Linked DNA regions of Lonchura striata. Each later gene encodes a partner of the first gene's protein in a complex. Links are inferred from orthologs where the notes say so. Each region holds a gene or a part of one and is shown in the gene's direction. Other genes may lie near its edges.

What was found.
Region 2: the proteins of NRP1 (region 1) and PLXNA4 are in contact, whole or in part, in a cryo-EM structure (PDB 7M0R), measured with the Mus musculus proteins. The link is inferred for Lonchura striata from reciprocal best matches to the Homo sapiens genes NRP1 and PLXNA4. Residues at the interface, in NP_032763.2 of Mus musculus: Arg80, Tyr84, Asp126, Tyr127, Glu128; in NP_786926.2 of Mus musculus: Glu272, Lys340, Lys343, Lys345, Leu349.
Region 3: the proteins of NRP1 (region 1) and PLXNA2 are in contact, whole or in part, in a crystal structure (PDB 4GZA), measured with the Mus musculus proteins. The link is inferred for Lonchura striata from reciprocal best matches to the Homo sapiens genes NRP1 and PLXNA2. Residues at the interface, in NP_032763.2 of Mus musculus: Glu78, Arg80, Asp81, Lys83, Tyr84, Asp126, Tyr127, Glu128, Thr129; in NP_032908.2 of Mus musculus: Asp273, Leu274, Phe275, Glu306, Lys341, Gly342, Gln343, Lys344, Gln345, His348, Pro350.

Annotation. Positions count from the first base shown.
Region 1 is NC_134603.1:142,991,004-142,998,287, reverse strand, and holds the start of NRP1 (neuropilin-1), read left to right. Parts: upstream 1-4,247; 5' UTR 4,248-4,370; intron 4,371-4,699; 5' UTR 4,700-4,954; coding exon 4,955-5,021; intron 5,022-7,284. UniProt on the Homo sapiens protein: Cell-surface receptor involved in the development of the cardiovascular system, in angiogenesis, in the formation of certain neuronal circuits and in organogenesis outside the nervous system. Mediates the chemorepulsant activity of semaphorins.
Region 2 is NC_134607.1:70,815,068-70,822,965, reverse strand, and holds the start of PLXNA4 (plexin-A4), read left to right. Parts: upstream 1-4,813; 5' UTR 4,814-5,091; intron 5,092-7,898. UniProt on the Homo sapiens protein: Coreceptor for SEMA3A. Necessary for signaling by class 3 semaphorins and subsequent remodeling of the cytoskeleton. Plays a role in axon guidance in the developing nervous system. Class 3 semaphorins bind to a complex composed of a neuropilin and a plexin.
Region 3 is NC_134632.1:5,093,465-5,101,181, reverse strand, and holds the start of PLXNA2 (plexin-A2), read left to right. Parts: upstream 1-4,695; 5' UTR 4,696-4,817; intron 4,818-7,717. UniProt on the Homo sapiens protein: Coreceptor for SEMA3A and SEMA6A. Necessary for signaling by SEMA6A and class 3 semaphorins and subsequent remodeling of the cytoskeleton. Plays a role in axon guidance, invasive growth and cell migration.

The DNA of each region.
Region 1 (7,284 bases):
TGTGAGAGACTGAGTAGGAGGATAAAAGATGCAGGAGATAAAAGGGCTGAGAGAGGAAAGATATAGACAAGGTAAAATGTATGTCTGATCTTAAAGATAAGGGTAAATAGCTTTGGTTCAGTACAGTAAGCAACAGGAAGCCAAGTAGTGATTCATATGGCCAAAACAACAGAAGAGGTGATGACACAGAAGCCTAGTTTTGGAGAGATTATTGGGGAAGATAAGTGAAAAAAAAATAAAAAAGAAAACATTAGAGAAAAGGATATAAATGAGCACCACACTGTATATGAAGATATTAGTAGACACAGTCATAAAGCAAACATATTTTTATTCTGCACTAAATACTCACAGGAAGTCTCCATTTTCAGGCTTTTAATATTATGGATGAGTTTAATTTGTTGTGTTTCTTTTTCAAAATAATACCAAATAAATGTGTCTTCAGCCATTGATTAATCATTTGCCAAACTTAGTTTTTAATTAAATGTGCTATGTGAGTACATAAAGGAATAAACATCAAAGTTGCTCCCTTCTGCTATTGTTAAAATGGGAAAATGTTTTTTTCCTTTGGAATTTTAAGTTTTATATTACATGATTTAGCCCAAGGCAAATATTTTTTTATGACTGAATTATAAACTTCTTGAGAAACAGGTTTATAACAGAAGTGCAGACAATCTTCAAAAAAGCATTATAAACACCAAGTCAAATAATGAAGCAAAAATGGGCCTGAACCCAAACCCCAAAGCTAGCCACTCCATTAACTTTTACATACATTGGATTCAGATTCAGTCTTTGTAGCACTAACTCATCCTTGCCATAAAATCCCATTACTGATGTGAAAATGGAGAGCTGAACAAATGTGTAAGCAGTTGCAGGATCAGGACCTAAAATTCCATGACTAAATAGTGAGAAGTGGATTATAAAAAGAGACTTCTGAATGTTTCATTTGATGCCAGTTTATATTCAAGATTATTAAAGATTAAACATTTTCAGGTAAATACACATAAACCAAGGATAGAATGTCTTCACTCTTCATTCCAGGGCAATTCATACATGGAAGAAAATTGTGCTTATATCCATGAATGAGAGAGAAAAAGATGGGTGGAAAAATTAGAGTAGTGTCATTCATGTTATGGTAAGGAAGGACATTAACGTACCAGACTCTGGTATATTTTCTAGGCCTTGAGATACCAACAGGAAAATAAATTAATAGATAAATAAATAAAGTCCCATTGTGGAATCCATAATGCCCACACAGTGCTGAGGAAGGGCAGAAATCCTCTTTTATAGGCCATATTAGCCCCAACAGAGGCCATTCCTGTTCAGATGTCTTTGCAGCCTGTTGCACATCTCTCTCTCTGCAAGAAAAGGAAGCACTGATATTTGAAACATAAGAATATTGAAATAAACCTTGGTATATGGATTAGTGATTACAGGTTAGGCCCAGGTGATAAAAGCAACTTTCATCATTATCTTACAAATTACCACATTGTGCCATCTTCCTTAGCGTACATGTTCTGTCTACATTTGTTTTCTTCCAGAGAAAGGAATTTCTTTAAAATTCACCAGCTACTAAAAAAATCTATGTCTATATCCGCAAAAAGTAATTTATTAATCCAATAGAAAAAAAAAATGGATGAAACACAGCGGCTGTTTGGTTGGATGGTTGGTTGGTTGGTTGGTTGGTTGGTTGGTTGGTTGGTTTGGAGGACCAAACCAACCAACAGCATACAGCATACAGCTGACAATGCTTATTTTCTTTCTGCAGATTCCTAGAAATCACCTGACAGACAATGCTAATCCCAAAGCAAGAGGGCCATCACTGTCATACAGTAAGTGCATTTTTTGATGTACATGCTTTCTGGGTATCTGTCACTTAGAGAATTAATATTGGTTTCTGAAACATGTTTTAAAACAAACATGTATATATATATATATTTGTGCAAACCCTTAGTAAGCAGGTCATTTCTGTTTTCAAAAATAGATTTACTTTATTTTAGAGGCTATATTGCTCAAACAGTCAAACTATGATCAGGTCAGAACCCATTTATCTCAAGGACTGTCCAGCAGAATGAGTTTTAATAATCAGAAAGCACTGTTAACTCTCCCCTTCCCCTGTGTTCTGGGAATGTCTCTAAAAGAAAAAAAAATAAAGGGGGCTTAATGTGCTACCCATAAAATATACATCCCAATCAATCAGGAAAATGCATAAGTATTGCAAATGATGATCCAGAGACTGCCTAAAGATGGGGAAATGAGACTGAACCCAATAACTCAATCTGACTAGTTCCAGCCTGCCTGTTTCTAGCCTGCCTGCAGACACAGGCATGGGCAGAAGCAGGGTCATGGGCAGGGGCAGAAGCAGAAGCCGACAAAGGAAAGAATTAAGTGTACAGAGAGTATAACAGGATCAAACTGCATTTTAGTGCACAATATTAGGGAATTGTAATCACGGAAGAGAAGGGGAATGTCTGGAAAACACTCAGAAAGTAGTGGTGAGAGAGTGTGCAGTATGAAACCAGCAGACAGATTTCCTACAGACTTAATCTCCAGACTTCAGCTGACCTTAAACTCAGGGCTTCAAAAGGGCAGCAAGAGAGTGAGAGTAGAAATCTCAGACTCAGAGCTAGAGACAAAGGAGGAGGCTGGATTTGTGTTTCCGTACACAGATGTAACACATTTGTAGTAAATCTGTGTGGCTGTAGACAACTATGTTTGAAAACTATTTCAAATAGGGCTATATCATCAGAATGGACAGCAGTTTACTGCCATGGCTACACTTGGAGGACGACCCTCTCCTCAGCAAAATCCAGCACTTTTCCCACTGCATCCTTTAGAAAAACTCCTTATGGAGTAGGTCTTCTATCAGGCCTTTTTCCTGATGAAGCATTAACAGAGTTTGCCTTGACTGTGCCACAGTAACAAATTGTTTTCAAACTGCCCTGGGACATGACAGTGGCTGACATCCACCACTGGCTGCAGGTAATTTTCCTAGCACAGACCCATCTTTGGGGGCCATTTAATACTGTGTTTCAGCTTTCAGCCTTGGAGCTCTTCCTGTAACCCCTACCCCAGCGACTCGATTGGCCTCACCATAGAGGGTGTGCAAAGTAAAAAAGCAGTTGGGTTCAGCAAGGTGATCACTCCCCAGGTGCAGGGACAGCCGGTAAGGCAGGGCAACAGGGCAAGGAAGAGACAGGGTCCATAGGTGGTGAGCACCAGACCGTGCAGCCAAAGCAGTAGGATTCAGAGCCCGCTATGTCCCCGCTTTGTTCCGTTCCTCTGGTGCCAGTGGTGGTGGAGGGGAGAATGCTCAGGAGGAGACACGCACTCCCCAGTGGGGATTTCATGCTGCACAGCCTCCTTCGGGAGCAGAGCCGGCCCTGGGGACCCCAGCAGCTCCTCAGCCCCTCAAGAGGCTTCAGACAGACTGAGACGGGCAAAGCTGCAACAGGAGCTGAGAGAGCAAGAGTGGGTGAGAAGGGAGGTGGGAAAAGGGTCGGAAGGGAGGGGAATACGGGGACGTCTCCCCTTGCAGATATGGAGTGGCCAGATGAGCCTGACACCTGGTGGGTCCTGGCAGCTCACCCCACATCAGCACAGCCTGCTTCCTCTAGGACAAGAAGGGACGGTGGGGGAAGCATCAGCAGTGGGACGAAGTCCCACTGGGGACTTCGAGGGACACGTATTCTCACACGAAACAAAAAAAAAGAGTGTTGGAAGGGGGAGAAGGCGGCGGAGGAGGGAAGGGTGGCAGAGGGGATGGCCCGGGAAGGGACGGGGCAGGGTTCCCACGGGGTACCCGAGGCGAGCGAGCCGGGAGGTGGGCAGGGGTGGGTGCGTGTGTGCGTGTCTGTGTGTGGGGCCGGGCGGCAGGCACGGCACGGCAGGGCACGGCAGGGCACGGCAGGGCAGGGCCGGGCAGGGCAGGGCCGGGCAGGGCTGCGCGGGGCCGCAGGAGCCGCGGGGCGGCGGGCGCAGGTGGTGCCGCCGCCCGCATCGGCTCTACCTGCCCTGGCGGGGACCGCCGCCTCTCGCCACCCCTCTGCTCCTCGCGTTCCCCCTCGCCAGTCCCCGCCTCGGCTGAGCGCCAGAGCCGGGGCTTGCCGTGTTTGTTTGTTCTTTCTTCCGCGCTGCCGATGTCTTGGGGGGCTGAGAAAGAGGAGGAGGAGGAGGAGAAGGAGGAGGGCGGGGAGGGGGAGGGGACTGGGGCTTGGGAGACGGCGGTTCCTCGGCCTCTCTTATTGCCGCTGAGTTGCGCTCCTCTTCCTCAGGCTGCGAGCAGGAGCCGCCCGGGCGCTTCCCACTTCCCCGGCCGGCCGGCAGTCCCTGCTGCGGCAGCGCGCTCGCTCGCTCGCCTCCCGCCGGGGCAGGTGAGTGCGGGCACGGCCGGGCACGGCCGGGCACCGCCGGGCACCGCCGGGCACCGCGCCCCGGAGCTCCGCGGCTGCGGCCCCGCGGGAGCCGCGGCCGCTGGAGAGCGGGGCAGGCAGGGGGGAAGCAGTTTGCCAAACTCCAGCGCCCGGCTGGTCTCCGCCCACGGCCCCTTTCCCTTCCTTATCTCCCCTCCGCAGAGCCCCTCGCCCAGCAGAGCGCTCCCGAGGTGTCGGCAGCCGCCAGTATTTTTTAATCTGTCTTGTTTGTGTGTTTGTTGGGTTTTGTTTTCGTTATTTTTTCCCCTCGTTTTCATTTGGCTTTCTAGTCTCGCTGGGAATGGCAAAGGCAGCCGCGCCTGGAGAAGGAACAAGTGTGGGGAAAGAGAGAGGGAGCCGGAGCTAAATGACAGGATGCGGGCGGCTTGAGGCACAGAGAGAAGCCAGCCTCCTTCTGTCCCCGAGACTGCCCCTGCGGACCGTGCTTTCTGCTCCTCACTCCGGCTGGAGGATTTAAAGAAGAGTTGTGCGTGGAAGGCATTTTTATTTTTTTTTTCCTCCTTTCCCTGCTGTCGGAAGGGAAAATGGATTGGGGACTTCTCCTACACTGTGCAGCCCTCACCTTCACCCTCGCCAGGGCTCTGCGGAGCGGTGAGTGTCACGGGGGACGCTGGGTCTCAGCTCGGGCGGTGCGGGGCCGGGCTCCGGGGCTGCCGGCGCGGGGGGCGGGCGGCGGTGCCCGGCGGGCCGTGGGACCGGCACCGACACAAACCCGGCTGGGGGAACTTTCTGCCGGAGGAGGGATGCAGCGCAGTCCTCGTCTGAGGGTCGCCCTCCCCGTCATTGCTTTCCGACTTTATTTTCTGCTTTCTTGGGTTATTGTATAAAGCAGGCTGCTCATTCTCACTAGGTAGGACAGCCAATTATCTTAATAATGTCCCGTCCCATAGGCCATTAAACGCCTCTCCTTCGATATCTGAAAGATAATGAACACCTTAAAGGGAAGGCTCTCTTCCCCTCCCGCCCTTTCTGTTTTCCAAAGCGTAGAATTTTAGATCATGCCTCCTACTAGCTGTGTGTGTACCTGCGAATAGTCTTCACACAGAGAACTCTCTAGAGTACCCCTTTCCCAAGTCTGCAGTTTACATGCAACTTACACTGTGCCAAGAGAGGAGCTGAGCTTCTCTGTGAAGGCTCGAGACCGCCTTCCAAGAGGAGAAATCACATAACAAATGAGTGGTGTGGCTAGTTTACTGTCAGGCAACCCTTGAAAACACAACTAATTAAAAGCGGCGTGCTCCTCCTTCCCCGAACAATGCCAGGGCACTGTAAATGTTCCACTGCATGATGCATTTTTAAAGATGGTCTAATTGTGGGACTGCCTGACATTTAGCTCTTGCACATGAAACAGTTAACGTGAATCTTCCTTTCCTGACAAATCCTGAGCAATTATTATTAACTAATTATCAAATATTTACTTTTGTCTGACTGGGTTTTCAATCAGAGTAATTAAAAGAAGAGAGCAGCCTCCACTTACACTGGTATATTGTTTTAATAAGGGACTGCAAGTGGAGTGTCAAGCAAGAATATTAAAATCACATGTTTTATGATAGAAGTTAATCTGTTTCCCAATATGTTTCGAGGACGCTGCTTAGTTTAATCAGGACGAGCTTCCTCCTCCAGTGCTGTGGCACAGGAGCAAAGGTGCTAGAGGGGTGCACCAAGCCTGATGTGGGGATGCTCCGAGAGGTGCACTTTGCTCATCCCCCAGCCCAGCTCGGGGTGTGGACAGCTGCCTCCCACACAGACCCATACTGCCACCCTGTACCTCTGAGGGACAGTAGGGGCCACCCCCATGCTCTTGTTGATCATTTCTCCCTGTGAAGAGGAGGAGAGTGGTTAACGTGGTGGTCCTGCTGGAGTCACCAAGGCCATTAACCTCCTCTGCAACCTACCGGACCTACTAATGCCACCTTCACCTACATGCAGTATTAGTGTCCACTAAATTAATTCATTAACCTTATTTGGAACTAATGGTCCAAAGTCATTAGAAACTGCTCTTCTTAATCAAGTGTGAGAGAGATTGCACAGAGCCAAGGAGTCTAGCAGACCGCATTATCTTATTACACTGTCACTTTCCCAGAAGTCGCAGATTAAGGAGCGCTGGTGGTAGTGAGTCCACCTCAGCGTCCTCTGAAGTGACTCTGTCAAGTGACTAGAAGCAGCACTGCTTTATTTCAAGTATTTAACAAATGCCAGACCCTGCCATGTTTGCAGGGCTGGAGTGGGCTTAATGAGACAAGATCACTTTCTGAGTATGCTTACACAGGGAGGAAAAGGCAAGATTCCCTGAGAGCCCCAGACAGCGGATTAGCAAGATCACCAGTGACAGCTTTTGAGCTTTAAGCACCAATGCCTTTTGTTCTGGTCAGGGGAAAACAGCCTGTTTGCAAAGGCACAGCAGAAATATAATAAGATAGCCTTTCCCAGTGACATGCTTGGCAGTATCTGGGTTTTGACCATACATCCGAGTACCTATCAATCCCTTCCCTCCTAATTTATGGCAAATAATTTCTATAAAGAGTGTTGCTTTATGCATTTTTGATGTGTGCTTCCTCATTCATTTCCATTTGACCTGTTTTTTTTCCTACAATAAAATCCTGTATATTTATAAATTCATGCTGAGAGCAAGGATTGCCATTTTGCTTTCACAGGGAATGTATTAGATAGAGCACAGCAGCCTGTATATATACCATTATTGAAATGTAGTGATATATAGTCTTGCTTTAGTGGGGACATTCTTCCTTTCCATAGTTTACTGTCATGTTTTATTGATCAAAATTAAACAACCAACACTTGGAAAAAGTTTTTCCCACCTGAAGATCCACAGAAAGAAATCCATAGTAGTAAAAAA
Region 2 (7,898 bases), on another chromosome or scaffold:
CCGCTGTTTTGTTTGGACAAATGACAGCCTGGGTGTGACCAGAGGCGATAATGGTCTGCAAATATTTGAAGGGGGAAGGAGAAAAATTGTCCCTGGGGGAGTTTGAACGGGGGAGGGCAAGGAGGGCAAGGGGAGGGTTGGGGATGGAAGATGTGCAGATGATGCTGTCCAGCTGAGTACATCATAAATCCCCTCTGGGTGGGTGGGTGGGATGGGCAATGAGCATCTCTCACAGCCCTGCCTCTGCTGGGAAGGGCAGATCCTCTGTGGAAGTGGCACTTCGCTGGGGAGGTTGGAGTTGGAGCAGGGGGGTGGAGAAGAGGGAATGGGAAGGGAGAAAACAGGAATGAAATTGCAGCCAAGAGGGGAAACTTGGGCTGGAAGCTCTGGAAATCTTCCTGTAACTTGAGGGGTTGGTGAGCTGGTGTCTGAATGCAGGTGCTAACAGGGACCGGAGCACACACTGATGGGAAGGAGCTCTGGAGAGGGAGGGGACAGCCACACCCTGCAGGTCTGTCTCCTGTGGATTGCTGCATTTGACCCTGGGACAACATAGAAGGAGATTTTGCTTCCCTCAATAACATCCAAAGAAGTGGTAAAAAAAAAAAAAAAAAAAAAAAAAAGAAGGCAAACCTTGCCTCTGTTTGACATTTCATTGTGCCTGTTGAAGGGCTGGGAAGAGGGAGACGCTGGATAACTGCTACAATTTTTATTTATAAATATCCTCCTGAAAAATCTGCCCCAGAAAATATCCCTGCAAAGGCTGGCAGGGGAGTTAAGGAGAGACTGGCAGGGAGTTGCCAGAGGCAGTGACAGGAGAAAGGGCTCGTGGCTCCCCTCTGCTCCATGCCAGGACACCCTGGGCTTCTCCGAGAATCCAGTGTGCAAAACCCCCAAGGCTCCAAGGAAATGCTGGACAAAGCACAGAGGGTGGCTGAGATGGACCCTCCCAAGAGCTTTTTTTTTTTCCATCCATCACCCAAAATTAGTTGCAACGATGCTGCAAAAAATGTTTGGGCAAGGCAAGGTGACCAAGTGGCACAATCCTGCTCTTCCCTGCAAACTTCTTCTCATACATTATTTTTGGGGTAGCACTGTTATCTCATTTTCCATCAGCACAACCCTTCCTGAAGCTGGCAGCACTGCCAAAATCCGAGAGAGTGACACCCCCTGAAGCCAAGAACTGCTCCTAGGGGCAGAGCTCACCCTGTCCCTCCCCGGGGTGTCACAGTGACCACGCAGAGCCCCGGCCCAGCTTTAAACCAGCTCGCACAGAATTTCCCACCCTCCTGAGCACGATAAAGACATCCTTTGTCAGCAGCAGGGATGGTGACAGCTGCCCAGGAGAGACCAATTTTCTTTCGTCTATCAACAGACAGGGGCAAGTTAGAAGGACTTTAAAGAGCAGAGGGAAGAAGGGGGTAAAAAAGAGACGTGGAGGAATAAGATTTTGAGTTAGCAGCCCTCTCCCCGGGCTGGTTTTTTACGGTTTGGGGGATTTTGCAGCTGCCACCAAGCGCGGTCGCTGCAGGTGGCGCTGCGATGTTGGGTTTGAGCGCTCGTTCAGCCCGGAGCTGCAGCAGCTTGCGGCCACTTAAACACCGCGCTGCTTTAACAAACTTGTAAAATGGCGGGGGGAAAGAATAATAGAAAAAACCCCGCACAATCTAACTTAGATTTCCTTTCTCTCTCTCTCTCTCCCTTTTTTATTTTTATTTTTTAATTTTAAAAAATTTATTTTCTTGTTTTCTTCTTTCTCCTAATGGGCTCGTCCTCTGTTGTTGGAGTCTTCAAGTGTACAGGTGGATGGTGCTGGCAAAAATAGGTGTTTTCTGTTCTTTGGGTGTTGATGGAAGTGACTCCTGTGTGCCACTGTGTGTGGCTCAGGTAATAAGGTAAGAAAAGAAAGGATTCATCAGTGAGGGAGGAAGCACAGAGGGATTCAGGGAGGCTGCTGGCACCCAGGACTTCAGGGGCAATGGGGGATCTTTAGGGGCAGTGGGAGGGAAATCAGCTGTGTGAGATTGTTTGGATGGAGATGAGGATTTTGCCTCATCCCGGATGATGCTGAGGCAGCTCTGATCCCGCTTGGTTTTCCCCCTGGAGCAGAGCAGGGGGTGCCCAGCACCTCTCTGTGAGAGGGAAAATATCCACTGGGTGACACCAGGGTGAGCCTGAGCCCTCCTTGTCCTTGGGCCCTTTTGCTGTAGAAATTCACAGGTCAGGGGAGGTCATTTGGGTTTTCCAGCCCTAACCCTTTTCCGCCCCCGCTGCCCGGTTCATGAAAAGGCCTATAAATAAAGTCTCATTTGTCACTCCCTCCTTCATGAACCCAAACAGCTCGGGCATCTATTGACTCGTGCCATTGTCTTAAGAAGCAGAAAGAACTGGTATTAATTTCTTCCTCCCCACCAGCTAGCGGGAAGCAATCTGGGCATATCCAGATTATCCGTGTTTAGCGGGACAGGTTTTAAACGCGAGACCGAATTTCCTTGAGGTTTTCATATGTTTTTATTAAATGGAGCTGCGAGGCAGGCTGGACACTCAATAATACTGTAGCACTCAGAGCAGCAGTGATCTTTAGAGGTTACTAACCTGCCATTGTATCTCTCAGATTCCTGTCTCGCTCCTCCGTTGTCATTTCGCTGTGTTATTACTCTTCAGGCTTCACATCGTATTCATTTCTCTGAATGAAAACAAATGACTCCTTGCGAGAGGTAGGAGATAAAGAATAATAAATACATTTTATGCACCACCTTAAAAAAAAAAATAAAAAAAAAATAAAAAAAAGGGCTCTGAATCTCCATCCATCCATCAGGAAATGTAAACCGGAGCTCAGGCAAAACACACACACAGGCGCGCTCACAGGCACGCGCCGGGGAGATAAAACTTGTTTTAAGGAAAACATGATATTGTTTCTAAATAAATAGCTTGGAGGATGCAAATAGACAGCCCCCGGCCCCCGTGCTTTGTGGCATAAATTTAAGATAATTAAAAATACTAAGCTCGGATTAAGCCTGATTTTCTGTCAATGGTGGAGGCTGTGGGGAGGAGGAGGAGGGGGAGTCCTGCTGTGTTTGGTGCTGCACAACCCCTGGAGAGGCAATTCCTGCCTCTGATCTCAGCTATGGATTTCCGTGGGTGCTGGGACCCCCTTTCCCAGGCACCCCCTGCATCCCTGCCGGATGCCTTTGCCTTCTGCTGGGAAAGGGGAATCTGCAGGGTCACTTGCAGAGTTTTCTCCCCGGCCTGAGCATGGCCAATCCCCCCGAAAGCAGAGGGGATCTCCCCCAGCTGCTTCTCCTCTTCTTCAGACCTTTGTGAGGCGCCCATCCTGAGGAAATCGGGGCTCCCTGGGGAGCAGCCCTGTTGCTACCAACACCCTGAGAGCATCCCTGCCCTTCCCAGCACCTGCTGCCTGCCCCGGGGCTGCCCCTGGCATCACCTCCAGGGAGGAGCGCGGGTCTCACTCACGGAATGAACTTTTGGGGTGGGGTCTGCCCCCCGGCAGCCTGGGGGACACCAAACTCATGCAGCTTCTAAAAAATACATTTATTCCTGCGGCTGCCCGGAATTACAGGGATCCCGGGCCAGGGGAGCAGCTTGCAGCCGCTCTCCGGGATTATTGCTCACCCGAGCTGAGAGATTGATCTGCCCCTGAGCCTCCCCACGCCCGCTCTGATCCGCTCCCCTCCGCGCTGGCTCCAAGCCGGAGGGGAGCAGCAGGGCACAGCCCGGAGAGGGAAGAGAAGGCAGGGAAAAGAGAAGGGAAATGCCAACCAAAGCCTTTTCTGAGGAGGAGCAGATGGGGGCAGGCAGCGAGATGCGGTTGGTTCCGTAAGTGCGTTTTGGGTTTTATTATATTTTTTTTTTTTTTTTTGGGGGGGGGGGGTGGAGGGGGGGATGGCAGAGACGTTTCCCAATTAGCCCAATCAGGCTGGAGATCCTAGGTGTCAGTAGTGAGTAGGAGCGAGGGAAGGCACCGGAGGAGGAGGAATCCAGGCAGCCGCGGAGTTGCAGCCCTGGGAGAGCGGCGGCGGCAGCCCCGGGAGGCGGCCCCGCTCCCCTCCCCGTCCCCATCCCTATCCCCATCCCCTGCAAACTTTAGGACGACGAAAAGCGCCTTGGGGGACCCCCTCCAGAGACAACCTGCGCTCCTCCGCCTTCTCCCCTCTGCCGGAGGTGGGTGGGCTGGAGAAAGGAGGAGCAACCGGCCACTCTCTCTGCAAAGCTAAAAAAATATATATATATATAGGAAAGAAAGAGAAAAAGGATAGAAAGGGATTTTTATTATCGCTTCGATTTTTTATTAATTATTTTTTATTATCCCTCCCCCGTGCATTGGGCTGCTGTTGCCACAGCACTTCTACACCTCTCCGGTTATTTTATTTTTTTTTTTTTTTTTTTTTTTTCGGAAAGGGGTGTGTGCCTTTGCGTGTGCCTGTGTTTGCAAAAGAGCCTGGGTGTCCAAGCCGGCTCCGCAGCCACCATTGGAGAGGAGGGCTGGGGAGGAAGGGCTGGCTGGCGAGACAGCCGCAGTGCGAGCCCTCCCCGGCGGGCGGGAGGCCGCGGAGCCGGGCATGGCCCCGTAGCGCATCCCCTGCCTGCATCCCCCTGCCTGCATCCCCCTGCCTGCATCCCCCTGCCTGCAGCCCCCTGCCTGCAGCCCCGCTGCCCGGCTCCCCCCACTCCTGGCTGGTCTAGAGGCGGGGGGGTGGGGGGGAAGGGCTGGGGGAGGGAGGGAGGGAGGGGAGGGAAGGGGTGATTTGGGGGGGGGGAGTGAAAACTGGAGCTGCGTTTACCCCCCCTCCCCCCCATTCTCCCCCCACCCCGGCTCTGGGCGAGCCAGACACGGTTTGCCCAGTGCAGAGAGAGGGGCTCCGTGTTCCGCCTCCGTGGAGTATTTGGGATTGGAGAGAGGCACACACGCGCACACACACACACGCACACAGAGACCATCTGCAGTGTCAATGCGGCGCCTGCTCTGAAGACTGAAGTGGGGGGAAAGGAGAGGAGAGAAATTTAATATATATATATAGATATATATATATACACCAAAACCCACCCAAAGCAAGCGAGGAGCATTCCCAGGTAAGGAGCCTCCCGCCCCGCCCGGGTAGCGGGGGCTGCGGGAGGATGCCCCGGAGGATGCCCCGGAGGATGCCCCGGGAGGGCTGGCGGGGCTGCAGCGGTACCTGCCCTCCACACCTGGCGGCAGTGGAGGGGGGGCTCTGGGAGGCGCTGCTCCCCATCCCCGGGTCTCGGGAAGGGGGTCTGGGATGGAGGACAGGGACCCCCGCGGACAGCGGGCTGAGCCGGTGGGTTCGGGCACGGCCCCTCCGCTCCTCCCGGCCCGGTTTGGGAGGATGCTGGGCGGGGGGCCGCGGCGGGGAGCCCCCCTTCTCCACATCCCCAGCGCGGAGGGGACGCGGTGGCCGGTGTCCCCCTTTCCCGAGTCCCCGATGGCTTTTTCCCCATGCACAAGGCTCAACTTTTCTCCCCGGAGGTAGCGGCTCAGCCCGTCCCTCATCACCCTCGGCATCCCCCGGCTGCGGGTTTTCCTCCTCTCGGGGGGTATTTTCCCCCTTCGATGCTCCACAGCTCTCCTCGGGCGAGGGGCTGGAGGCATTTGCAAACTTTTCCTGCTCCCGGTGAGGATGGAGCTGGACGGGGCTGGAGGCAGAGCCCTATTCCCGGGGAGGATAACACCTCCCCATCCCCGATGGATGGGGACAGGGGCCAGCCCCGGTGGCGAACACCTAACAGGGAAGGGCAGACCCCCGTCTCTTCCCTTTCTGCAAGGTGCTGGAGAGTTTTCCTGCCCAAATCCCGGCTGCGGAGTCAGCGCTGCTGAACCTCCCTCCTTTCCCTCGGTGCATGTGCGTGCTGCAAGCGAAACCTGCGTATCGATGCTCTGCGTTTATCACACATATGCCCTTAAATTATGTAGACCGGGAGAAGTGATCTAAACACCGAGCCGCGCGTTGTTTTGGTGGAAATCCACGTTGTTTTGGTGGAAATCTGATACTCCGGCAGCAGCTGAGTTCCTCGCAGACAAACAAACCCGCTTGCTCAGCCCCAGCAGGGCTGTTTGGGTTTGTAGCGGCTGCTCCATCCCCAGCCCGGAGGAAATCCTCCTCCCGGGGCTCCATCTGCTCCCCGTGCCGGGAAGGGATGCGGCGTTCGCCGTGCTGGATGCGGGGGTAGGACCCGCAGGGTTCGCCCTGGTGGGAAGGACCCGCTGGAAGGCGTGTGGCTCTCCCGAAAAACTTCCACACCCCTCGCTGCTTCCCAACGCAGCCGTGCGGGAGAGCTCGCTGGAAGCGCACCTGATTGTCCACGGCTTCCCTCCGCTGCCGGGAGGCGATGCCTGGGAAGAGAAATTTTGGGAAAAGCGAGGGGAATCTGGAGCTCCCCGAGTCCTGGGGGTGAGTGGTGCAGAGGGGAGGTTCGCACCGGGACCCCCGATGCTGCCGGGGGATGCTCTCGTTCCCTGGGAACAATGACGGTGCCAGGGGGTTTTTACAGCCGATACGAGCTGCTCGCAGCCTTCTAGGGACTCGTGTTGAGCGTGCACAGATATTTTGGAGGGCGGAAAGCGTGCTAACTTGTTTTCTCTACCTGCCCTCTGTTTCACCCGGGTGCTGCTTGTAGAAATCCGCGAGCGGGCAGGACCAGCGGGGCACGGGGGGCACGGGGGGCACGGGGGGCACGGGCTTTGGCGTCTCTGTGATTTTTATTACGGCGTGTGCCTCCCAGCGTGGGATTAGGTGCTTCCTAAGCCTCTGGCTGGAGGTGCAGGGGATGCGAGCAGCGTTTTGCTTGTGGTATTTTATTTTATTTTATTTTATTTTAATTTTTTGCCTGGGGAAGTGCGTGCTTGTGTGTTTGTTTGTTTGTTTGTTTGTGTGTGTGGGATCCTTCGCTAAGCCGGGCTTCAAGCGGTGCAACAGATGTGTGTGTGTTCGCTTCGCGTGTGCAGCCAGGTTTAAACACGCAACCCCAGCTCCGGCACGAAAACCTGGGGCTTTTCTCCCCTCCTCTGCCCAGACCCACCCTCCATGGGGGTGTCTCCTTCCCGAAAGGACCACTCCAAGGCTTCTTCTCTCTCTGTCCCATCCTAAATGTGTGGCGCTCGGCGGTATGGATACCACGCGAAATAAATGACAACCGCATGATCTAAGCGTTGTTTATGTCCAAGACGGGTGTTTTAGAAGCCGGGCTGATAATCAATCACGGTGCTGTAGGCAAGATTTGCTTGATGATCGTAACTGCCTGGCAGGCACCGAGGGCTGGTGTCAAACGCGCCGTGCGCGCAGCCCGGCTGGGGAGGGACGCTGCCAGCCCGAAGGGAGATGCTGAACTTCTCCGCGGGGAGAGGGAATATTTGAGCTTTTCCTCAGCGGATTCACCTGGCAGCATCCCTCCCTGCAGCGCAGAGAGCCTGGCTCTCGGCAGCCGCTGGGTGAGGCAAAGCGAAGGGCTGAGCAGAGGCAGGGGAGCGGCGGAGCTGCGCTGCCGGCAGGGCAGGAGCGTCTGTGGCAGCCCCATCCCGGGGGGCTCTGGCTTGCCGGAGCCGCTTTCATATCAATTCCTCCACTTTCGCAAGCTTGAGGAGGGGGAGGAGAGATGCCGGCGCCCCTTTTGTGCTGCATCTTTTTCCTTTTACTGAACCGCTTTGTCTCTGCCTCCCGATGCCGAGGGGTTGCAGTCAAACCCAGCTCCCTCTCGCCGTGCCGGGGCTGGATTCGTGTGGAGAGCCTGGCCAAGATCTTACGATGCTCGGGGTGTGCTGAGGGTTAACGCCGTGTGGGAATCGGTTTCTTGTGAGGAAGGGAGCCCTGAGCAGTTCCCGCAAAGCTGAGAAGGATGCTGGCACTGTGGGCTCCACGCTGGGA
Region 3 (7,717 bases), on another chromosome or scaffold:
CGTTTCTGCAGGCCAGGGCAGCCTCTGGGGAGGGGGAGGCAGCAGAGGGGAGCCCCGGAGGGTGCCAGGGCTGCAGCCCAGCCTGCTTCTCTCTGCCCCGGGCACCGAGAGAGCTGCAAGGAGCTGCTGGAGAAGCAGGTGAGATGGAAATTCGGGGGAAATGGAAGGGTTGGTGCCCTTGAAGTTTTCTTCTTTTGTTGTTTTTATCTCTGTTCTTTGTGATGGTAACAAACTGAAAACGGTGTTGAAAGTGAGTTTGTGCCTGTTCTGCCTTTGTCTGGTACTGGCTGAGCTACCTGAAGAGAAGGAGTTTTATAAACTTCTGGGCTTGTGTTTGACTGTGAGCATCCCCCTCCCTTTCCTAAGAATCCTGGAAAGAGTCTGGAGCAACGTGCGTTCCTCCATCACTTCCAGAAGCTGTGCAGAATTTGCAGCAACAGATTAACACTGCCAGAGCCACAAATCAAAGGATTTCCAGTTCCACCCCGCTCCCACCTATTATGCAGGGGGAGAAAAAAAATCTCCATCTCCTCAGACAAGAGGGAAAAAAAAAAGAGATGAAATTAGGGTTTAAAATCATTTAGGTTTGCATTTCATTCCGTTCGGCGCTGTCAGTGATACACAGCGCCTGCAGAAGAATTAGAAAGATTATTGTGGAAGGGAAGGCAGAGCCACAGCGTGCTTGACAATATGCTCTGTATTTTACCTTCATTAGGACAGGGAGCTTGAAATACTCATTTCTTTATGATGAAGGAACTAAAGATTTCCAATGAGCGCAGAGCAGGGAGCGGGCAGGGGAGATTTATTGCTAAAGCATGTTTTTAATCACAGCAAGCACCTGAGCGAAATTGTGGAGATGCTTCTGCCCCAAGACACCCCTTCAGTGAGCTGGGGGAGGGAATTCCCCCCTGCAGGGGAATTCAGCCGGCCCTGAGGAAATTCAGACAGAGATTTTGGGGAGCCCCAGTCAGAGCCCTGGAAAAGCTCCCTTTGCACCCCTCCAGAGGGGACAGCGGTGTCACCACGGGCCCTGCTGCCTTTGGGGTCTTTGTGCACGTGTGGACACTCCTTCATTAGGGGCCAATAATTAACTCCTCACCCCCTTTGACCCCAGCCCCGGGCTGGAGGGGCTGCCCAGCCCTGAGCGCCCCTGGGAGGCTCCAGCAAAGCCAGTCCTGGCCTCAGGCACTGTCCAGCAGCTGGAGGGGCCCTGCTGGGGCAGGGCAGCACAGCTGGATCGGGGTCAGCACAGCTGGATTGGGTCACAGCTGGGATGGGAATGTTCCAAAAGCCATGGATGGATGCCCAGTCCCATGGCCTGCTCTGGGGAAGGCTCAGCTCCCCGCTCTCAGCCCCTGTGCCCGCTCTCTGGGGCAGCCCTGGGCTCACGGGACACTCTGGGGACACTCTGGGGACACTCTGGGGACACTTTGGAACACAGCTGTGCTTCAGAGGGGCACCAGAGGCCACGGGGGCTGCCAGCCCCTCCAGGTGACCTTTCCTCGGCCGCTTCGTTGGCTTGTGACCGAGGTGGGAGCCTCTCCCTGCTCCTGGCAGGGGAAACGCAAGGATGCAGCAAATATTTATTTAAAAAGAGGTGGGAGTGGTGTGCAGAGCTTGGGTCACGCTGAGGAGCCAAGGGAAGGAGAGGAGAAGGTGACACCGTCACTCCTGGTACGGGCCAGCCTGGCCAATGTTTTCATGTTGTATTTGATTTTTGAACATCACTAAATATTGCTGAGTTCTTTCCAGGGTTATTTTTGTGCTCTCCTCTGTATGATCCCCTTTCTTTCAGCTCTCAGCTGTGGGAAGATGATTAAAAATGGCACATTGTCTGCACCTGGAATTCCTGACACAACCCCGGCACAGGCAATTGTGTTTCTGACAGTAACAAGACACTCTGGAACTCAGGATCCGGAGACTTTCTGTTCTCCTGCCCTTGCACTTAATGAAACCAGAGTTTGTTTGAGAAAGAAAAACCCAGAGTTAATTTCAGCTCAGCTCAAACCAGGGGATCCGGAGGCAGGAGCTGGAGCTCGGAGTTATGGGAAAATCCGAGGAGAGGAAGGGATAAGGAGCGCTAGGAAAAGAAAAATCCTTTTCATTTCCCAAGAAGACATGATGAACAGCAGAGAGAGAAAAAAAATCACTTGACAAGGTTCTTCTAAAGAGGAAGAATAGTGCAAAGTGCTGGTTAAATTCCCATTGATCCTTCACTCAGCTTCCCATATACACATGGGTTTGACTACTTGATACTTCCTTTCACTGTCATAAGTAATAACCGAGGGGAAACAATCATTTCTAAATAACTGCCTATGATTCTTCTATTGTAGTGATTAGCGCTGAATAATTATTAGCTGCGCTGGGTTTCTGCGGGGCTGGGCGGCAGCGGGAGCTGCCGGCGCCTATAGACGGTGCCTATAGATGGTGCTCTCGGCCTCGCACAGCCGCTCCACGCCGAAAAATGCGCCTGGATGGGCTCCCCGTGTCCCAAACCCCCCGGCAATGGGGGAAAAGGCTCTTTTCCCTGCGCTGTTTCCCTGCCGTGCTTGTCTGGGAAGCCACGACTCTGTTCTATTGCCCTGGGGATGGCAAAGGTGGAGCAAAGGCTGATTTGGGGTCTGGGCAGGGAGGGAAGAGCCCGAGGTGGTGTCCAAAGCTGGGTACCGGCGCTTCCAGGAGTGTGGAGCCAGGCTTGGAAGTCCTGATAGACACACCCGTGACTGGTCAGAGACACTCCTGACCTGGTCAGAGATACCTGTGACTGGTCAGAGACACTCCTGACCTGGTCAGAGACACCCATGACTGGTCAGAGACACCCGTGACTGGTCAGACACACCCGTGACTGGTCAGAGATACCCATGACTGGTCAGAGACACCCGTGACTGGTCAGACACACTCCTGACTTGGTCAGACACACCCGTGACCCAGGGGCTCCCAGCAGAGCCTGCTCTCCCCCTGCTGCTTTGCTCCCCAGCCCGGCAATGCTGGGATGATCAGCTGGGAGCAGCCTGTGATTCCAGGAGCACAGTGACCATCAGTAAATGATAAACAGGAGGCAGGCTGCAGACACGGGCCTGCAGAGAGGAGGGGAAGGGCTGCTGAGATGCGCTGCCCTGCCCTGTGGGGCTCTCACGAGGAGCTGCTTGGTGGGATGTGATTCACCCAAAGCTGGCTTTGCTGGGGGCTTGGTTCCGTTCGTGGGAGCTTGCAGCACAGGAGCTGCTCTGGGAACGGGCTGGCAGAGAGAAAAGCTTGCTCAGGAACCGATGCTGCCATCCTCTGAGTGCCCGCTGCTGCCTCTCCCCAGCTCAGCAGCTGCAGCCTGGAGACCTCTCCCGGCTCCAAGGGGATCCTGAATCCTCTGCAGGGGCAAAGAGCAAAGCCAACCCCAGCCGGGACCTTTGCCACCCAAAACTGCTCTTGCAGGGCCTTGCTGAGGTGCACCAGGCAGGGAACTGCTGTGGCCATGGTGACAGCAGTGAGGGTGACACAGGCTGGGCTGGAGGGGAGCTCTGAGAGGAAATTGGGGTGGTTCCGTCACTCAGGTTTGTTGTGGACGAGGCCCAGGATGATGGCTCTGATTTTCTCTTGCAACTGTCCCAATGTGTAACAGAAAAATGGTTACAAAACTCCTGATGACAAGATCCGAACAGCAATCCATCATGGTATTGATCCCCTCCACCAGCTGCTCTGCTCGGAATCATTCCCAGAGCCTGGCTGGCTCAGGGTCAGGGTCAGCCGGGCCGTGGTGCTCCTGCCTTTCAGGAGCAGTGTCCTGCTGTGGCACTGCCACTGCCTTCTCTTCCCTGGCTCCAGGTGCTCCAGACCCCTGTGGGCTGCAGCAGGCGGCCAGAGGGGTGTGAGGTGCTGGAAGATGCTCCTCCCTTTGGGTACCCTGCAGCTTCCAGGGGTTTCTCCGTGTGCAGAGGCAGCAGCCAAGGCCAGGTCGTGGCTCCGTGGCTGAAGCACTCGAGCCCAAGGAGGGGTTCTGTGGCTCCCAGTGGGTGGTCACAGGGCTCCCTGTCCCAGCTGGCCACGGCCACTGTGGTTGGCTTCTGGCAGATTTTGGCAGGAGCTGTTGGGGTCAGTGGCTTCAGGGGCATTGCAGCACATGCCCACCTCTAGCTGTGCTGGAGGTGACCCGCCCTTGGCAGAAAACCAGGCTGCCAGCCCTTGCAGAGACGGGGAAACTGAGGAATGGAGCGCTCAGGCGTCACTCCTGCCACCAGAACTGGAGCCGAGGGGTGCTCTGAGCGGGGGGCAGAGCCGGGGGCAGAACCTGCCGGCTCCGTTCCTGTCCCTGCAGCCCCCCCGAGGCGGGGCAGCTGCGGGGCAGCTGCGGGGCAGCTGCGGGGCTCTCCGGGCGCAGCTGTGCCGGGCCGGCCGCGCAGCCCCGCGCAGCCCCGGGCGCTCCGGGCTTTGTTCCAGCGCCGAGCCGCTCCCCGGGCGCGGCTCCGCGGGACACGGCGGCGCAGGTGAGGTGGGCAGGGGGTGCGAGCGGCGCTGCCGGCGCCCCGGCTGCGGAAGGGTTAACGCGGGAGCGCGCCCGGGAGCGCGCCCGGGCGGGCGGCGGGAGGTGCCGGGGCGGGCGCAGCGCAGCCGAGCCGCGCTCGCCGCACTCGGGCAGCGGCTGCGGAGGCGATGAGAGGCCGGCGGGGCTGAGCCGAGCCGAGCCGCGCCGCGCCGCGCCGGGGGAGCCGGAGGGGCTGCGGGCAGCGGCGGCCGCCCGGCCCCGGATTTCCATGGTGCCGGGGGCCGCCGGCATCCCCCCGCCCTGAGCCGGGAGGCGGGCGGCACCGGAGCGCCGAGGGCTGGTGAGTGGCGGCGGATGGCGAGGGGCTGCTGCCCGCCGGGGTGCGGGGGTCCCCGGGGTGGGGGTTCCGCCGGAGGATGCGGGGAGGAGGCGCGGGATCGCTGTCGCCGTGCCGCCCGCAGCTGCCCGAGCCGGCTGGCACCGGGGCTGCGGGTGGCACCGGGGGCTGCGGGTGGCACCGGGGGCTGCGGGTGGCACCGGGGCTGCAGAGCGCGGGGTGGTGCCCGGCGGCTCCGGCCCCGGCCGTGCCCGCGGAGCAGCGCGGAGATGCCGGCGGTGCCTGGGGAAGGGATGGAGGAACCGCTCCGGTTCCAGGGAATGCAGCGCCCGCCGCCTCCCCGGGCTGCTCCGCGCTCCCGTTACACATCGCTGTCTCCTCGTTAATTCTGCGGCCGCTCGGTACCGCTCAGTCGCGGTCTGGAGCCAACGCAGCGGGATAAATTCACCCCCATAAAAAGTTCCTGTTAGCAAGGAGCCACTTTTTTGGAAAACACCCCCGAATCTTAGGGGAAAAGACATAAAATCCCCGCTAAAACTTTCCTAAATCCGCGCGAGACCCTTTTTGGAAGGTGGTGAGGGGAGAGATACCGAGTGCACTTGTGCTCCCTCGGGAAATCCCAGCTCCCGGGTGATGGCCCCGCTCTCCGCGGCCCGGGGCTCCCGGGGGTGTCGGGGCTGCCCCGGTGAGCCGTCCTCGCCGGTGTGACCTCCGTTTAACCCGGCACGGTCACGCATTCCCGGCTTTGTCTCCATTCACGCTACGGCCAATACTCGCACGTTCCTGGAGGTGAAGTGAGTGATGTTCAATTAATCTGTGTTCTAAGGGGTATCAGAAAGTCAATAGGTTAATTTTAAGCGAGGTGAATAGTAAGTGGCAGAGGGAAAAGATCCCCTGTGCGTCCGTGAGCAGCAGCTGAGGCTTGGAGGTGAGGGAACGCGAAGTTCTCAGAGTGCCATGATGTGAAACCACTGCTCGGAGGCTGCTCCTGCTCTTTGCTGGGCACTTGATGCTTCACTGGTGGCTTCGAGGTGCTTGGCAGACCTGGGCTGAGCTGGGGACGTGGTCCTGTCCCCCTGCTCTGGATGGCTTCATTGATAACGGTGACTAAAGTGAAATGAGATGACCTACTTACAGCTGAGGGACAGATGCCTCGCAAGAATCTGTGCCAGCCTCGGAACAGATGTTTGGCTTTTTACCTTTAACACAGAGGTGTTAGATCCTTTAGAACTCAATAGGGCTCTTTTTTTTGGTCTTTATTGCCGTCCTTGTGCCATTTGTTGTCACTTTGAGGACCCTCGGAGCTCAAAGGTGGGATTCTGGGGTGGTGCCGGGGACCAGATAAAGCAGCTCTGACTCGAGAATCTCGGTGCGAGCAGCGGGGGACGTGACCCAACGGTGTCACTTGTGCAAAGCCTTATCAGGCAAGGCAGCCATCCCTGCCGACTCTCCCACCGCATCCCCAGCGCTTGTGGCAAGAAGATAAAGCAACCCAATTTACTCCTCTCTGTCTTTATGGTGCCGTTTGATGCAATTAATTGTGGAGGTTCCCCCTCCCGGCTCAGAAGGAGTCGGTGCGGTGGATCAGGTAACACAGGAGCTGCACAGAACCCACCGCGGATGGGAGCAGCTCTGCCTCGTTCCTCGGTTAACCCTGAGCTCCCTGCGCTGAGAACTCCGGCGGGCTGCGGGAGGGAAACTGAGGCACGTTCTGCCCGCGGGACCGGAGAGGGGAGGGCCGGCTGCTCCTGCCCCGCGCTCTTTAACTCTCCTCAGCAAATTGCGTTAGGACGTGACAAATTGGCCCGCGAAGCAGCTAAATGGAGATGACATTTGGAGCAGTTTGCCGGCAGCCCCTCTGCAGTGGCAGGGAAATGTGCGATTTGCAGGCTCTGCCCCACATCTCCCATTTAGGCACCGCCACGAGGCTTTCCAGAACTTACTCAGGGAACTCCTGGTGCAGCCAAATGTGGGAGTCTCGAGCATGCCTGGGAAAGGTTGCCCAAAAGCTAGGGCAGATGTAGGTGCAGACTGTCTCATGCCGTGGGCAGCTGAGATGAGGAGCTGAACCGGGAGAGAAAGCAAAGCCGGAATTTAGAAACTGCGTGAGTGGTGAGCAGCTGAAGGTGGGAAGCTGGGCTGGCTGCTGGGTGCCAGCGTGACGCTCTGCTGGGGTGCAGGGGCACCTCTGCCCACTGATGGGTGATCCTGGGGTGCAGGGGCACCTCTGCTCATGATCCTGGGGTGCAGGGGCACCTCTGCCCACTGATAGGTGATCCTGGGGGTGCGGGAGCACCTCTGCCCACTGGTGGGTGATCCTGGGGGTGCAGGGACAACTCTGCTCGTGATCCTGGGGTGCAGGAACACCTCTGCTCCCCGAAGGATGATCCTGAGGTGCAGGGACACCTCTGCTCACTGATGGGTGATCCTGGGGTGCAGGGACACCTCTGCTCACTGATAGGTGATCCTGGGGGTGCAGGGACACCTCTGCTCACTGATGGGTGATCCTGGGGTGCAGGGACACCTCTGCTCACTGATGGGTGATCCTGGGGTGCAGGGGCACCTCTGCCCACTGATGGATGATCCTGAGGTGCAGGGGCACCTCTGCTCATGATCCTGGGGTGCAGGGGCACCTCTGCTCATGATCCTGGGGTGCAGGGACACCTCTGCTCACTGATGGATGATCCTGAGGTGCAAGGGCACCTCTGCCCACTGATGGGTGATCCTGGGGTGCAGGGGCACCTCTGCTCACTGATGGGTGATCCTGGGGTGCAGGGACACCTCTGCTCACTGATGGGTGATCCTGGGGGTGCAGGGGCACCTCTGCTCGAGATCCTGAGGTGCAGGGGCACCTCTGCTCCCCGAGGGATGATCCTGAGGTGCAGGGACACCTCTGCTCACTG